Linked DNA regions of Stegostoma tigrinum. The protein of the gene in region 1 purifies or fractionates together with the protein of each later gene. This does not show direct contact. Links are inferred from orthologs where the notes say so. Each region holds a gene or a part of one and is shown on either strand. Other genes may lie near its edges. The genes, in order: irf2b and irf2bpl.

What was found.
Region 2: the proteins of irf2b (region 1) and irf2bpl purify together in Homo sapiens (affinity purification with mass spectrometry; 3 studies listed by BioGRID and IntAct, counting the BioPlex papers as one, with this or other methods). This does not show direct contact. The link is inferred for Stegostoma tigrinum from reciprocal best matches to the Homo sapiens genes IRF2 and IRF2BPL.

What each region holds. Positions count from the first base shown.
Region 1 is NC_081356.1:113,847,391-113,855,658, forward strand, and holds the start of irf2b (interferon regulatory factor 2), read left to right. Parts: upstream 1-5,069; 5' UTR 5,070-5,583; intron 5,584-8,268. UniProt on the Homo sapiens protein: Specifically binds to the upstream regulatory region of type I IFN and IFN-inducible MHC class I genes (the interferon consensus sequence (ICS)) and represses those genes. Also acts as an activator for several genes including H4 and IL7.
Region 2 is NC_081363.1:50,435,970-50,443,681, forward strand, and holds the start of irf2bpl (probable E3 ubiquitin-protein ligase IRF2BPL), read left to right. Parts: upstream 1-4,545; 5' UTR 4,546-5,468; coding exon 5,469-7,451; 3' UTR 7,452-7,712. UniProt on the Homo sapiens protein: Probable E3 ubiquitin protein ligase involved in the proteasome-mediated ubiquitin-dependent degradation of target proteins. Through the degradation of CTNNB1, functions downstream of FOXF2 to negatively regulate the Wnt signaling pathway.

The DNA.
Region 1 (8,268 bases):
CTACATAAGATAACAAAGTGTGAAGCTGGATGAACACAGCAGGCCAAGCAGCATCTCAGGAGCACAAAAGCTGACGTTTCGGGCCTAGACCCTTCATCAGAGAGCATTCTGCTTCCTGTCTGCTAACCAGTTCTCAATCCATGCCATGACATTTCCATCAATTCCATGTACATTAATTTTGCACAATAACCTCTAATGTAGAACAAATCAAAAGATCTCTGAAAATCCAAACATACATCTAGCTGTTTTTCCTCATTGATTCTACTCATTAGATCCTTAAAAAACTTTAATAAGTCTGTCAAACATGATTTCCCTTTCATAAATCCATGCAGACTTCATGCAATCCTACTATTTTCTAAGTGTCTGTTATCACATCCTCACATATTTATAATAGTCTCCAACATTTATATAGATGCTGCTGCACCTGCTGTGTTCATCCAGTCCCACTCTTTGTTATCTTGGATTCTCCAGCATCTGCAGTTCCTATTATCTCCTATTACTGTTGTCAGGTTAACTGGCCTGTAATTCTTGGTTTGTCCCTTTCTCCTTTTGTAAAATAGTGAGGTTACATTTTCCACCCTTTAATCTGCCAGAACTGTTCCAGAATCCTCAGAAGTTTGGAAGATAACAACCAATGCATCCACTATTTTAATACCACCTCCTTTAGTACGCTGGAATGTAGATTATCAAGCCCTGGGAATTTATCAGCTTTCAGGCCCATTAATTTCTCCATCAATTTTTAAAATAATAATTCCTTGGATTTATCTTTCCCAATAGAGTCTATTTTCCCTAGTACATCTATGAAATTATTTGTCTTTTTCTGCAAAGACAGAACTAATAGTGTTGCTGAATTGCTCTGCCATTTCTTCATTCTCCACTATCAGTGCTCCAGTTTCAGACTGTAAGAGGCCACCATTTTTCTACCTTTGTTTTTTTAACATACTGAATTGGAAATAAGTATTGGCTTTGCCAGTGATGCTCACTTCCGGTGAATGAACAAATAAAACAATCTAATTAATACCCAGCCAATGACTTACTGACAGTTAAACGCCCTCTAGCTTGCAGTTACTTAAATTTAAATCAACAATTAAATGCAGATCAGTGAAAAGCACAATTTCGGCAGCTCTTGCCCACAGATCATGCTTTATTTGCAACATTTCAAAGGTAAATGATTTGCGACATCCCAGATTTTATTGAAACCCACACTCTGAACTCCTACAGAAGTCCATTCTTAATACCTAGTCTTATCTCAATCCTTTATCATTCATGAAAAAGGACTTCAGCTGCTCCACATTCCTAAGTGGTCAGCCATTTTGTAATTAATTTTAAACATAAATAAATTTATAAGAACTGAAAGTCTGTATTTACACCAGCTTTGTTCAACTCCAGAAATGATTAAATCTTTATAAAACATTGGTGAGACTACATCATGTATTGGGAACTTCACTTACACAGGGAGAGACTGGAATCTGTCCTTAAAACAGAAGAGGTTAGCAGGAGCACTGGGAAGGGTTTTGAGAACTATAGAGAATCTCTTCCTAGTGGAAGAGAGTTCCTGACCAGACGGCACAGTTTGAGGATGATTCACAAAAATAACAGAGGCCAGATGAGGAAGCATTGTTTTAAACAGAAACTTGTGGCAATTTGGAATGCAGTGTGTGAAAGAATGGAGAGTCTTCTTAGAGGTTTATTGCACAGAACAAAGGCCCATCAAATCTGCGATGGTCAAAAACCTTCAGAGGTTTAATAGAAACTTTCAAAAGAAAATTAAATAAGTCAGGAGGAAAGAAAAAAAACAAAGCTAAAGGATAACAGCAACCATTAATAATTGGCTAGTTCTATCAAAGAGCTGGCACAGATGTGGTGGGTTGAATGGCCTCTCTTTGCCATGGATCATTTTCTGATTCTGTGGCAGTACATTTATCTGTTAAGCCTTTGAGGACTTCTGAAAATATAGTGCTAACGTGGCTGTAACATATGCATCTGTGAACAAATGCCAGTGCAGTGCATCATTGAGAATGGGGTTGGGGAAAGAAGTAACATAGAGGTTAGTACTTCTGGAAGTATCATAAGGGTTTTGACATAGTGCCAATTAACAGACTTGTGAGGAAAGTATAGATCATGGAGAAAACACAACAGTCTCAATGTGAATACAAAATTGACTGGGTGACAGGAAACCGAGTCATGATTAATGGGTATTTTTCAGGCTGGAAAAAGATTTGTAGTGGAATTTCCCAGGGGTCAAGTCATTTGTTTTTCCTTATGTATTTGAATGATCCAGATCTTGGTATGCGAGGGACAAGTTCTAAGCTTGTGAATGATGCAAAACTTGGGAAAATAGTAAACTGTGAGCACAGTATAGAACTTCAAGTTGATAGAATGGGCAGATAGGTGATAAATAAAGTACAAATTAGAGAAATGTGAAGTGATTGACTTGATCCAAACAAGATGGAAAGACAAAACAAAATATGGTACTGTTCTAAAACGTGGGCAGGTGCATGGAGATCTCAGTATATATGTAAATAGTTAATTAAATGTGATAGGACAGGTTGAGAGAGCTGTTAATAACGTATACAGTATACTAGGTATCATTAACAGAAGCATAGAATATAAGTGCAGGGAAGTTATTTTGAACTAATGTAGGACTCTTATCTAGGCTACTAGTGAGTGGGCCTAGTGCAGACTTGAGATAGCCCAGTGTGGACTCACAGCATCAGAGTTGCAGAATGTTTGGGTTCCTGGTGCCTTCTGCATTGTTGAGGCTGTCCTAGCACTGACTCATGGCTGCAGTGGAGGAGATGAATTTGTATTTTTGTCAGTGTCTGTGGCCAGGGCAGGCAGCGGTGGTGCATTTGTACCCAGTATAAGAGCCTGCGGCATTGGCGGGGTAGGCCTGAAGAGGAGTCATAGTGGCTGTAGAGTCAAGTTTGGGCCAATGTAGCACCCAGTGACATCTGCATTGGTGAGGTCCAACGAGGACTGATAATGGTGAGGGTGTCAATGGATGGCAAGATGGCACTGGAGTGGTGACTTTCGCTCCAGTGGCACGGTGAAGGGGCTCTTGCCTGGCCACCAGGCCCATGACCTATCGTGGAGCACTTAACAAGATGGACTGTAAAGCTGAACACTTTTTCTTTATTTGTCTGCCATATTATTCGAGGTTTTGGTTTATTTTTTCCACTATGCAACACTTTTCACTGTATTTCGTAACAAGTAAAATCTGATTAAATCAAAGTTAGATGTCAGCTGGAACATGGCATACAGTTCTGAGTGTCACACTATAGGAAGTTTGTGAATGTTTTGGGAACAGTGCGGAAAAGGCCATTGAGGATGGTTCCAGAGCTGAGAAACTTCAGTTATAAGGAAAAATTGGAGATGTTGGGGATGTTCTCCTCAGAGAACAGAAAGGTAAGAGGAGATTTATTAAATGTTTTCAAAATATTGAGGGTCTGGAATGTACTTCCTGATAGCAGTGTTCCCTCTAACATTTTTATCAGCTGCACAGGCCCCTGAGGCCCTTGTGTGGCACTGACTTCAGCAATCAGAAGTCAATGTTGCAATTGGCATGTTAACATTGAAAACCATGGACCATCAGTAAGGAGACACACAGGCACAGCTTAGAGGGAATGTAGCCTGGAAAGTGGGTGGAGGGAGGTTCAATAAAGGCATTCCAGAGGGCATTGGTAATTAATTAACTTGAAACAATGTCCTGAGTTATGGGAAAAGACAGTTAATTGGCAATGACTGCTGGAAAATGGGGCTGGAAGCGTTAAGACGTTGCTTTTGACATGCACATACGTGATGGTCCAAAGGGTCTTCTTTTGGCGCAGTAGATCTGTGACTGAGTAAATTTAAAATATAAAGACAGCGCAGACAAGATGCACCAAATGGTCTCCTTCTGCACTGTAACAATTCTGTGAAGCCATGTACACATTGTGCAGGTAACAATCATGTTGGCAAGGTAGCACATGATTTGGATGAATTTACAGGGATAAAGAAGGGATAGGGAATCGAACTTGCTGCGTAGCTTTACAGGAACCACAGAAACCATTGGTCAAATGGTCCCCTACTGTACTGTAAAACTCTATGATTCTAAGCCGTAGCGTATCCATCTGGCATTCTCGATGATTCTGAAATGCAGAGTACTTTGCTATCCTATCCGAAAAAAAGCAGCAGCGACAAGAAATGGAGAATAAAATCAGCTGAGCTGATTTTTGTGCCGCATGGAAAAGCATAGACATGGTTGCAACGCAGGCCCATTTGTTGAGGTGTCGCAATCTATTCTCACGGTTAATGGTTAAAAGCAGCCAGAGGGAAATTACAACCCATGGTGGGCGAGTTACTGCTTCTGCATCAGAAGATGTGAGAGTTACAAAGTAGGCCGTATAACTTTGTAACAAGTCACAGTTAAACTTTCTGGAGTACACGGAATTAACACAGCTATAACAGGGTTAGCTACCAAATAACACGAGGGGATAACAACTCAGTATGTAACAGTTTCTCCTTGTTTCTCTCACTGTAAAACCATTTTCCATCAATATTAATTTTTGCACCTTTCCAAATTTAATAACCAGATCCATTAATTATAACAAAACTAAAAATGTGTTTGCTCTAACAGTTCCACACATCAGTATCTTGTGAGTATGTGAAATGAAACTTTAACGGGCGGTAAATAATTAGACATTTCTTACAGTAACAGGCTCTCAACGAAAGAAAGCAGAGTATTTTTGTAGCCAAACAATACATGAATTATTTTGTTTAATCGTTGAAATTTATATCACGGGGTGGGGGAATCGCGTGTGTGCACAAACATGGGGATAAATATAGCTTCTCAGGCTCGACCTGTGAAGGTCAGGGCAGCACCGGGGGTGGGGGCTTTCTGTCCGCTCGCTGTGCCCGAGAGACTGGAGAGAGACCGACCCTTCCACCCCACAGGGATCTCCGACCAGCAGATCTCCGGACATCCCCTCTCCAACCGCACCCCCACCCCCAAATAACGTCCGACGACTTCCGGACACCAGACCAACAACACCGCCCCCCCCCCCCCGATCCCATAACCCAGGGATCTTCGGCCACCGATCCCTCACCACCCTCCCCCCACTCAACCATCTTCGGCCACCGCACTGCCAACCCAGCCACCCCCGCCCCGGCGGAGCTCCGGCCGCCAGATCCCCCCCGGTGGGTGCCCCGACACACTTCACTCTCCGAGCTGACGGTCTGGGGATGTGAAAACTGAAAATGAATTTCTGAGGAATCGATGCAGCCCGTCAGACCAATGGAAGTTTGCGGAGGACTTCCGCAGTCGGTGGAGTGAGGCCCGCCCAGGCGATGTTGTAAATTCTTAAGGCACAAACACGAAAACAAATCGGGGGGGGGGGGATGGAATTTCCAGCCTTCCGCCGCCTTCTTTTACTTTCGATCTAATTCTGCAACTGGCAGGACGGGGGGCTTGGGTTTTGTCTCTTTGGTCGTATCTGTACGTGTTCCACCACCCCCCCCCTCACTTTCTTGACGTGACCGTCCCGCTGTCAGCCACTTTGAAAACACCAGGGATCATTTATCTTTGGAAGTGGGGATTTGGAGGTAACAAACAGGTTTTGTCAAAATATTTGAAATGCATAGAGCAGGAAGTCGATAATTTTGTATTGCAACATTTTTAGGTGCATGAGAAATGTCAGCATTTTGTGACTAAAAAGAAAGAAACATAAAGCGTCGAACCGCGCTGCAAAAGGAAAACTAAAAGTGTTTCCAACATTTTCAGCGCCGAGCTTTCTCTTTTTTAAGGCAGTTTTAGTTTCGTTTTTACCATAAACACCTCTGCAAATGTTGGTAATTTAGTTAATCCCGGACTTGGATTTTTGCCGACACATGCAATTTGATTTGCTCAGTTTGTTTCTTTAACAAAATGCTACTGATTGTTGAATTTTTTTGCGGAGGGGTTGGTTCAAGTGCAGTCGACCTTTGGGTCAACAAGTGCACTGTTTGACAAAAATAAGTCTGGTTCCGTCTTGCCGATTGTTGGAAAACTTGGATCCTTTTCAGTCTCTGTGTTAAAATATGGAGGAACCAGCAGTTTGGGTTTGCTCGTTTTGGATTAAGGAAGATATCATCAGGTCTAGGTTGCTAAATTAATGGGAAGACATTATAAACTGAAATGTGTTAAACTCTTGACAGTTCGATTTGGGAAATTCAGATAATCCTGCAGTGGCGTCAACGCGTATTTATAGGACAACATTGCCAGTTCAACCGACATTAAATGTAGAAACTCGGATTGCAATTGTCATGACTTGTAACTTTTTATTTTAAAAAAGGTTTGGGGCTGCTGTAATGAGGGCCCGTGTTGGTTTTTTTTGGAAGCTTTTGTTAGTTTTAATCCTTTTTTTAGTAAACTCACTTCCGCCTTCCGATCTCCGGGCGCGTCAAAGGCGGGCTGATATTTTAATTGACATCTCCGTGGACGAATGGCAAGGAAAGGAATGTGATTGATAGAGGGAGCGGACAATGAGATGGCGTCGAGCCACTGACTGACGGAGATTGCAGCCAATGTACATGTCTCCTTCCCCATGTTAAACTGTCAACCCGAGGTGAACAGATGAGGTTGCGTTATATAATTGGAGAATTACAGTGTTTAAAAAAACACACACACAAGTTGGGAAATATGTCAGCGTGAAAGAAGAAAACATGTTTTTACTTGAAGCATGTAGGGGACTAGGATTCATAGGATTCAGTATCAGAGTTAGACCTGAGTAAAGTGTACAATTCGAGTCTCCATGTTTAAAAAGATGATAATACAAGCAGTGGAGAAGGTGTGTTGTAAGTTTACCAGAAACTGTGGGGGGTATGGCTATCAGAAAAGGCTTGAATGGTTTCGTTAGGAAAGAGAGGCGTGAGATGGGGCCAATTTAAAAGAGGCCTTTAAAATTACAAACGGGTTCGGAAAAGTGTGACTGGATATCTGTAGGGTGTCGTGGCGGAGTCCAGGATAGGCAGGAGCAAAAGCTCCTCAGGAGGAAACTCCTCAAAGACTGAGTTAGATTTAGATAGTTGGACCGTGGAAAGTGCGACCACATGGAATGGCCGAGCCGAATAATAGCGCACACATTTTAGGCAAAGTTAAGTAACGACATGAGATTGAAATAAAAAGAAGGATTCGGTGATTGTGTGAAATTAAAAATAAAGTGGGAGGAAGCTTGTGTGAAGTACGAACTCTGTTGAGGAGCTCCTAGGCCGAATAGCCTGTTCCTGTTTAATTATATGTGTTTAATATGGTCACAAAATAATTTAATTTAAGGTTAGAGATTTAAATTTAAAACCAAAACTTAAATCTTGTACAGAATGGTGATTTTTGTTTAATATAGTTTTAAGACCCAGTACATCAGTGTTTCAAAAAATAGATTAGCAAATAATTGCAGTAAAATGATTGTCAAAGTTATGGAGAGGGAACGTGTGGATAAAACCACCAGTTCAAATTTAATATGTGAAAAGGCTGTGATGCAACATTAGGTATTTAATCCAGCAAATATGGGTCTCAGTCACGAGTTACAGAGCCACTGAAAGCCTGACACCACATCCTTTGGGGAAGGTCTGCTATATGTATTGATTGGTGGGTCTGTCCAGGATTGAGCAACTCAAGTAGTGCAACTCTCAGCACCCACACAGAAGCCCCAAACTACTACCTTTAAACTTTCACTCACTCCACATTTGATGCACAGCGATAGCAGTGGCTACAATCTATAAAAGGCACTGTACTAACTAAGGCTCCTTCGGCAACTGCTTCTGAACTGTGGAGGGGCATGGATAGGGTGAATATCTAAGGTCTTTTTCCCATGGCAGCGGAGTCCAAACCTGGAGGGCATAGTTTTAAGGTGAGAGGAGAAAGATTTAAAAGGGACCTTAGGGGCAACACTTTCATGCAGAGGTTGGTGTCTGTATAGAATGAGCTGCCATAGAAAGTGGTGGAGGTGGTTACAATTACAACACTTGAGAGGCATCTGGATGGGTTCACGAACAGGAAGATTTAGAGGGATATAGGCCAACTGCTGGAAAATGGGTCTAGATCAGTTTAGTGATAGTGGGAACTGCAGATGCTGTAGAATCCAAGATAACAAAGTGTGGAGCTGGATGAACACAGCAGGCCAAGCAGCATCTCGGGAGCACAAAAGCTGACGTTTCGGGCCTAGACCCTCAAAACGTCAGCTTTTGTGCTCCTGAGATGCTGCTTGGTCTGCTGTGTTCATCCAGCTCCACATTTTGTTATCCTAGATCAGT
Region 2 (7,712 bases), on another chromosome or scaffold:
TTCAGTTCTAACAACCTGAAACTCTCTTGTCTTAGATGTTCCACAAACTAAAACCCTTTGCAATGATGACTGGTCCATCTGAACTAAATTCTTTATTCTCATCCTAGGAAAAACTGATCTCCCTTATAAATTGAACTCCTAATTCTTCTGAACTGATACTTTGAATCTTCTGGCATTTGGTTTATTGTTAACTCAGTAATATATAAACATTCTATCTATCAACACTGAGGGGAAGTTTTCCCAGGCACCTAAATACAGTCACATGCTTTCTTGATGATGATGCACCAAGTCACTGTTTAACATAACATTCTGACCTGTTTTTAATCAAAAATCTTCACAGAACTAACCCACAACCATCGGCATCTATTTAAAACCTACATATTATATACCTTTCATTACAGTTTCAGGCATTATTTTTGCATAATCAAATAAAAACATGGTGAGGATGCATTTCATTTCTCAATTTGGGAAATGAAATACCAAAGTCTCCTACTTAGGAAAAAAAATCATTACTTCCACGGTATGTCAGTTCTTTTCTTGAAATCTACAATACTTTAAAGGTCCAGTCAACTTTTGTTTTAATATTTCTGCCTGTACTTGAAAACCCATTTACTTTGCTCAGTGTCAACTTTAAACATTTCCCATGATAGAAATTTCACAAGCCAGATAAAAGAGTAGCACTCCCCTCATTCTACCTCAACCGGGTAAATCAACTTCACTGAAGCAGTATCTATTTTCCCTTGCCCACCAGCAATCCTCGTGGTCTCATGACACTACAAATTCTATATCAATTAGTTATTTGCTGAGCAGTTGCTTTGAGGTCGTTTGATTTAAACATTTGTTTTTCTAGGCAGATTAGAGAATTGTAGAACTGCAGGATGTGATATTGGTAGGAAATGATGAGGACATAAAATTTAAATATGAGAATCAGAAATTTCAATTGGAGGTGATGGGGTACAAGTGTATATCAGCAAAGTCAGGTGTGATAGTTGGACTGAAGCTATAATTAAAATCACAAACATAAAGAAAAATAGAGTGGGTAGGCAAGATAGGATCAAGATAGAAATGTTAAAGAAAGGCAAAGTAAAAAAGAAATCTAAAACAGTAATACAAGTCGAATATACATGTAAAAAAGAAAATTGTGCTACAGAGATGCTTGGCAGTAATGAAGTACAAATTCATCAAAAAATTGCTTCGACTCATACAGCACGTAAAACAAACCCTTCAGTGCAACTCCTCCATTTGACTAGACATCCCAATCTGACCTAGTCCCATTTGCCAGCATTTGACCCATATCCCTTTAAATGTTTTATATTTATATAACCATCCATTTCACTTTTAAATGGTATAATTGTACCCCCCTTCACCACCTCCTCTGGCAGCTCATTTCATACACTCACCACCCTCTGTGTGAAAAAGTTGCTTCCTTTTAAATCTTTCCCCTCTTACCTTTAACCTATGCCCTCTAGATTTTGTGTAATTCGCGAATGTTTAATTGTTAAAGGATATCTGCAGTCTTGTGTGAATTTGTGTTAGTGGCTAATTACCACAGTAACTGCCTGCAAATGTAAACATCTGATGTATCAAGCCCAGATTTCTTTTTGGGATCTGACTTGTCTAGGATCAACATCAGCTTGGATCATAATGGCTGATTATCAGTAGCACTAGCTCCAAGTGGAGATGAACACCTTCATGAAAATCACTTCTAAAAATTGAGAATTAACATGCAAATTGTCTTAAAAACCTAAAGTAAAAGATACTGTAATGCCAGTTTAGTCCAGGCAGAATTTTTAACTTTAATAGAAGTTAATCTATCGTAAATCTACTAAAAAAAACTGTTGGTTCTTTAACTAAAATGGTCGTTTTCACTGGTTAAGTATGATAACTGTTTCACTAAATAAAGATATGCCATGATGAACACAGTAGGGAAATAGTTTCACATTCACAGCTGAGTACCATATCATTTGCCAATTTTGGAATAAATCTATTTTTGGCTACAGATTAAGAAACAGGTTCAGATTATTTAAGTTTACTTTAAATTAGGACCTTGCTCTTTGCATAATGAGGACATATCCATTACCGATTATTAAGAATATGAAAACTGTTGCTCAAGGTAAAACAGTCTCCTAATGTACATTGTGCCTGCACCTTGTGTCCTATTGAAAGTAAAAAGGAAAGTTTTTAAAATTCACCAATCGTTTTTGTATTTACATTAAGGAACAGAAGCAAAATGTTTGTGTTTCATGGTATCCTTACATCAAGCTTTCCAATTTGAGATGAACTATACATGTTTTATTTTGATCTGTGAGTTTAATTATTTACAGCTGTGAAGGGGATTTTCAATCTGTCTGCCAAAATCCTGTTGACTGTATGATTTTTAAAAATCCTATTATAGCTACAAACAACTGTTAAAATTCGTTGGGGTTAACATAGGCGGACATGTGTGCATTTATTTTTCCAGGGCTTGGACATTCCCCTCATTCCCCATAGCAGTTAGTATGATCATCTGTAACACTTGATAGGAAATGAAGACTGATGAATTTCTTTAATCCCTAAATGAAGCATCGATTTTCAGTGCAAATAAACAGTAGAACAGAAGACAGCAATAATTTAGGGCTCTTAAAGGAACATTCTTATTGAATCTCTTGAAAGAAGCGAATGTTATTTTGGAACAGAAAGTATAGCAAAGAAAAAATACTAATAACTATTTTTGGCATTTCCAATGTTTACTAAAATTGGATTGCGCAGTTGTATTTTTCGTGGTCTCGCATATTCCCTTTCGCGTAGTATTCTGTGTTGAACAAGGTGGCATAGCAAGGGCGATACGAAAAAATAACCTAGCGTTATAGCCTTACTAGCATTCAGAGCTTGATCAATCTTGGGGAATTGAGAGTGGGCGTCTCAAAATAATAACTACTTCTAAAAATAAGTCCATGCGATTTAAACGAGGCCTAAGGTATCGTTATTTCAGACAAAATAACAGTGGATGCCCTCTGCCCTCGTGGTGTGAGCGGAGAGGGAGTTAGAATGTTCTTAAGTAAATTTACATTAACTATCTCACACTAAAAGCTCAGATGGAACAATGACTTCAATGTCATAATTCTGTTTTATTTTTTCAATTCTGCGTCGTGACTTGCAGTGCGTTTTTTTAAAATCGGTGGGCACGATACCATGCGTCGATAAAATGCTTAATAGTCTGTTGAGCCAAGATCCTTTGAAATGCATTTTCCATTTTTTCTTGATGTTGTTTCATGGTCGGGAACAGAGGAATAAACCGTTCACCTCATTATTTTTAAAGGGGTTAATAAATTATATAAAGCTGTAAGGTAGTCGCACGTTTTGAAGCTTTTTTTGAAATAAAAACTGTTTAACAATCCTTTTCAAGTTCCGAATTCCAGTTGTACTACTAAGATGCTTAAATACTGCAGTTTTGATATTTAAACACATTTCCGTTTTGTCAGCTTCTGGTGACACTTGCTTACATTAAAAAAAACTCTTGTGAAGTTGTGTTTACCCTGATTAAAACATTGAGTTCCCCCCAGGAATGGGATCTGAGTGTGCCACGGATCATTTCTTTTTATACAAGGTGGGGGAAGGGTGTAGTGTGAGATTTAAGTTCGACTTTAGAATGCAAGACAAAATTATTTTTCCTTTCGGAATTATTTTAAATGAATAAGTTAAATGAACTTATAGTTCAGTAACTGATATGTGTTGGGCAAATGTGGATCCGTTTCAGTGTTCACGGAAATGCATTACGTTAAAGGACAATTTAGATATGTTTTAAAATATTTTTTCCAATTGACTTTTTTTTCTGCTCTCTTTTAGATTACCTACAACCATTACAAGTTCGAGTTAAATTAAACAGTAACCAAGTAGTTATTTATTTTATAGTGCTGACGTAGCTTTCGAAGTTGATGGCCCACATCCATGTTAATAATTAAACCGTACTGTACTGGAAAAACAAGCAGCAACTCCCTCACCTCGGGGCTCGCACCATTGGGTAACTACTTTCATGAAAAGTAAATAGAAGCGTTCATTGGGAGGGAGCTTTTCGTTTTCGATTGAAGTTTACACGCACAAAATTGCACAACAGGAAACTAGCATTAGGCTGGTTATATGTGGGTGGAAGTTGCATAATTTGCTAGATATTTAGCTGGTGTTCTAACCTATGAAATTATTTTATACTTTTCTGACGTTATGATGACTCGATTTTACAATTTTCCCATCATGCTTCAAATTGCTAAGATTGTCGTATTAAAAACGGACCCTTTGCATTAGTATAGCGTCAGCCTTAAAAGTACATGCACTTGGTATTGAGCAGATTCCTACCAATAAAATGGGAGCCTACAAAACAATCGAGCTGCTTCAGTCCAGAATTAGCAGCAGAGAATGAAATGTCTGCTCATTGAGTGACTCGGTGCAAAACGCTAGGGAGTTGCGACATTCTGAAGGGAACTGAACTAGAACAAGCCCTGACGTCATGGGGCGGGACTAGAGCTGCAGCTGGGGGGGGCGGGGGAAAACCTAGACTGATTTAATATACTGTATAAAGTGCATACTTAAATAAGTAATTACTTTCTATTGTCAAGTGTTGAACTTTTAAGACGGTTAAAGGAATTCCTGTTATCATAATTTGTTTCTCGATCTGTTCGACTGGGTGAAGTACTCAAAAGCTAATTGTTTAGTCAAGTAAATGTTATTTAATTTCTATTCAGCTGTAACTGGTGTGTTGGAATTTTGTAGTTTAAATTTAGAACTTTACATTTATATACCAGCTGTACTGGTAACTAATTTTGCTTTTGAGCATAACTTCCGTGGTTAATATTTCGAATTATCACGGACCTATCCTAATAGACATTCCCGCAGTGTATTCTGGTAACTGAATTGTTACAATGGACAGTTAAAACATTTTTTGGGCCAGGAACCAGTTTCTATTCCGTTACAACCGTAATCTGTCTGAAATTGCTAGGTGTTTTGGAGTAAATCATGTGCACGATGATCCGGCTACTCTCAGGGACAGGGGCTGAGAGACTGGACTGTACATTCCTCAGAAATGCTTTTGGTGTGTTTGCTGGATAGAGTCAAATCCGCAGTGTTTGGTTCTGTACAGTAGTATACGAAGAACCAAACTGCTTTAGTGACTACGTATGCATATAAAGTTTTTTTTTAAGGAATAAAGTATAGTTTTGAAACTTTGATAAAGGGTAGTCAGCCGAGACAAGCCACATGCTTTAGACGGTGGGGGTGGGGAGTGAGGCTGCGCTTGCGTATTGGCTGCAGAGCGGCGGCTGACGTCACGTGGTGCTCGGAGAAGCTGAGTGGCGGGGCCGGGAGGAGAGGAGAAAGCAGACAGAAGAGCAGGAGAAAGGCAAAGAAAGCGAGGGAGCCTAGGCCTGGCCATAATACCGTACGAAAGGGCCACCGCGGAGAGACCCAGAAAACAATCAAATCTGAACATCTTCCGCATCATGTCCGCTGCACAGGTGTCTTCGTCCCGGAGACAGTCGTGTTATCTCTGCGATCTGCCTCGCATGCCGTGGGCCATGATCTGGGATTTTACTGAGCCCGTCTGTCGCGGCTGCGTCAACTACGAAGGGGCCGATCGCATCGAGTTTGTCATCGAGACGGCGCGCCAACTGAAGCGGGCTCACGGTTTCCAGGAGGGCCGCTCGCCAGGGCCGCCTCCTGTCAAAGTGCAGTCCTTGGGTGGCAGCAAAGAGGCGGCTCAACAGCTCAACCACGTCGACGGCTCGTCCAAAGGGCCCCAGCCGCCTGTCGATCGCTATTCTTTGAGCGAGAGACCCCGATTCGAGTACCCGAGCCTCGCCCATGCTGGCAGGCTTCCCAATGGCCTGAGTGGACCCAACGGATTCCCCAAACCTGAGGACATTCCGCCGGAACTCAACCGCCAGAGTCCCAATTCATCACGAAGAAATCATAACATCGTGCCCCCGGGCCCCGTCACAGTGCCGCCCAACTTGCTGCCGCAGACCACTTTAAACGGTCCGTCCGCAGGAGCTCTGGGTCCACACGGGCTGCTAAGCAGGCCGTCTCCTTCCAGCAGCTTGGCCGGGACATCGGTGACGGTCAGTAGTCAAGTCCTGAGTGATGTGAACAAACGGCCAGGCTCAGTGTCCAGCAGTGACCAAGAGAGGGAACTCAAAGAGAAACAGAGAAATGCCGAGACTCTGGCTGAGCTGGGCGAGAGCTTGAGAAACCGCTCTGAGGACTGGGTCAACAAGCCCAAGATCGTGCGGGAGACGCTGCTCACCCTATCCAACTGCAATCCCTTCGATGTGCGCTTTAAGAAGGATCACTCTCTTTTGGGCCGGGTATTCGCCTTCGACGCCGTCTCCAAGCCCGGCATGGACTTCGAGCTGAAGATCTTTATTGAGTACCCGAGCGGTTCGGCCAATGTCTTCTCCAGCGCCTCGGGAGTTGCCAAGCAGATGTACCAGGACTGCATGAAGGATTTCAGCAGAGGCCTATCGTCCGGTTTCAAGTACTTAGAGTATGAGAAGAAACATGGCTCGGGAGACTGGCGCTTGCTGGGTGACCTGCTGCCTGAGTCGGTGCGTTTCTTTAAGGAGGTGGTGGGGGCCGATATGCTGCCGCAGCCCCATATAGACGCCAATTGCCCCATTTTACCCACCGCCCTGTGTAATATACCCCGGCCCCCGCCCAACAGCTCGAGAACTGGGATGCGCAAACGCAAAGCGTCTCCTGAACCCGATTCGGAAACAGGCAGTGTAAAGCTGGAAGAGCGGCAGCAGCAGTGGCTGTCCAACCAAAATGAAGCCTTAAAGCTTACTATGGCGGCATCAGGCAGTTTTGGCTCAAGTGGTGTGGCTCATGGGGGTTCCGCTCTGCCACCCAACCGGACCACCCCTCCCGAATGCAGCGCCCAAAATGGACAGTCGCCCATGGCTGCCCTCATGTCCGTGGCCGACACCCTTGGAAATGCCCACTCTCCAAAGGACAGCAGCAATTCGGTACATTCAACCACGAGTACCAGCACTCGGAGGAATAGCAACAGCCCCGTGTCCCCTGCCTCGGGTGGTGGCCAGCGCCGCATGGTGTCCAGGAACGGGGATGCTGCACTGTCCGTTGCACCACCTAACAACCATCCCAACCCCAGCATTGACCCCGTTCATCCCCCAAACATTCCAGACTCACCAATGGCCAACAACGGGCCCCTGTGCTGCACCATTTGTCATGAACGTTTGGAGGATACTCACTTTGTGCAATGCCCATCAGTGCCCAATCATAAATTCTGTTTCCCATGTTCTCGGGAAAGCATTAAGGCGCAGGGGGCAAATGGAGAAGTTTATTGCCCCAGTGGAGAAAAATGCCCTTTAGTAGGTTCGAATGTCCCTTGGGCATTCATGCAAGGAGAGATTGCTACAATCTTAGCTGGGGACGTTAAGGTCAAAAAAGAAAGAGACCCATAATTTCTTAACTTCAGTAATTGAAGTAAAATGTGAATAAGAACTAAAAGAAAGTTAGTCTTATGTATAGACATTTTTCATTTCCATCGTATGTTTCTATATTTTGAAACAAGGTATGTACTCTTCTTCATTTGAAGGATGAACCTGGTTTTGTTTAAAGAATATCAGATATTATTGCTTAATACTGTTTTCACTTATGGCAGTGTGTTGGCTAGGTACAGAGCATAGCACTTAGCAATTAACGCTGCTGGTGTGTTTTTGTAA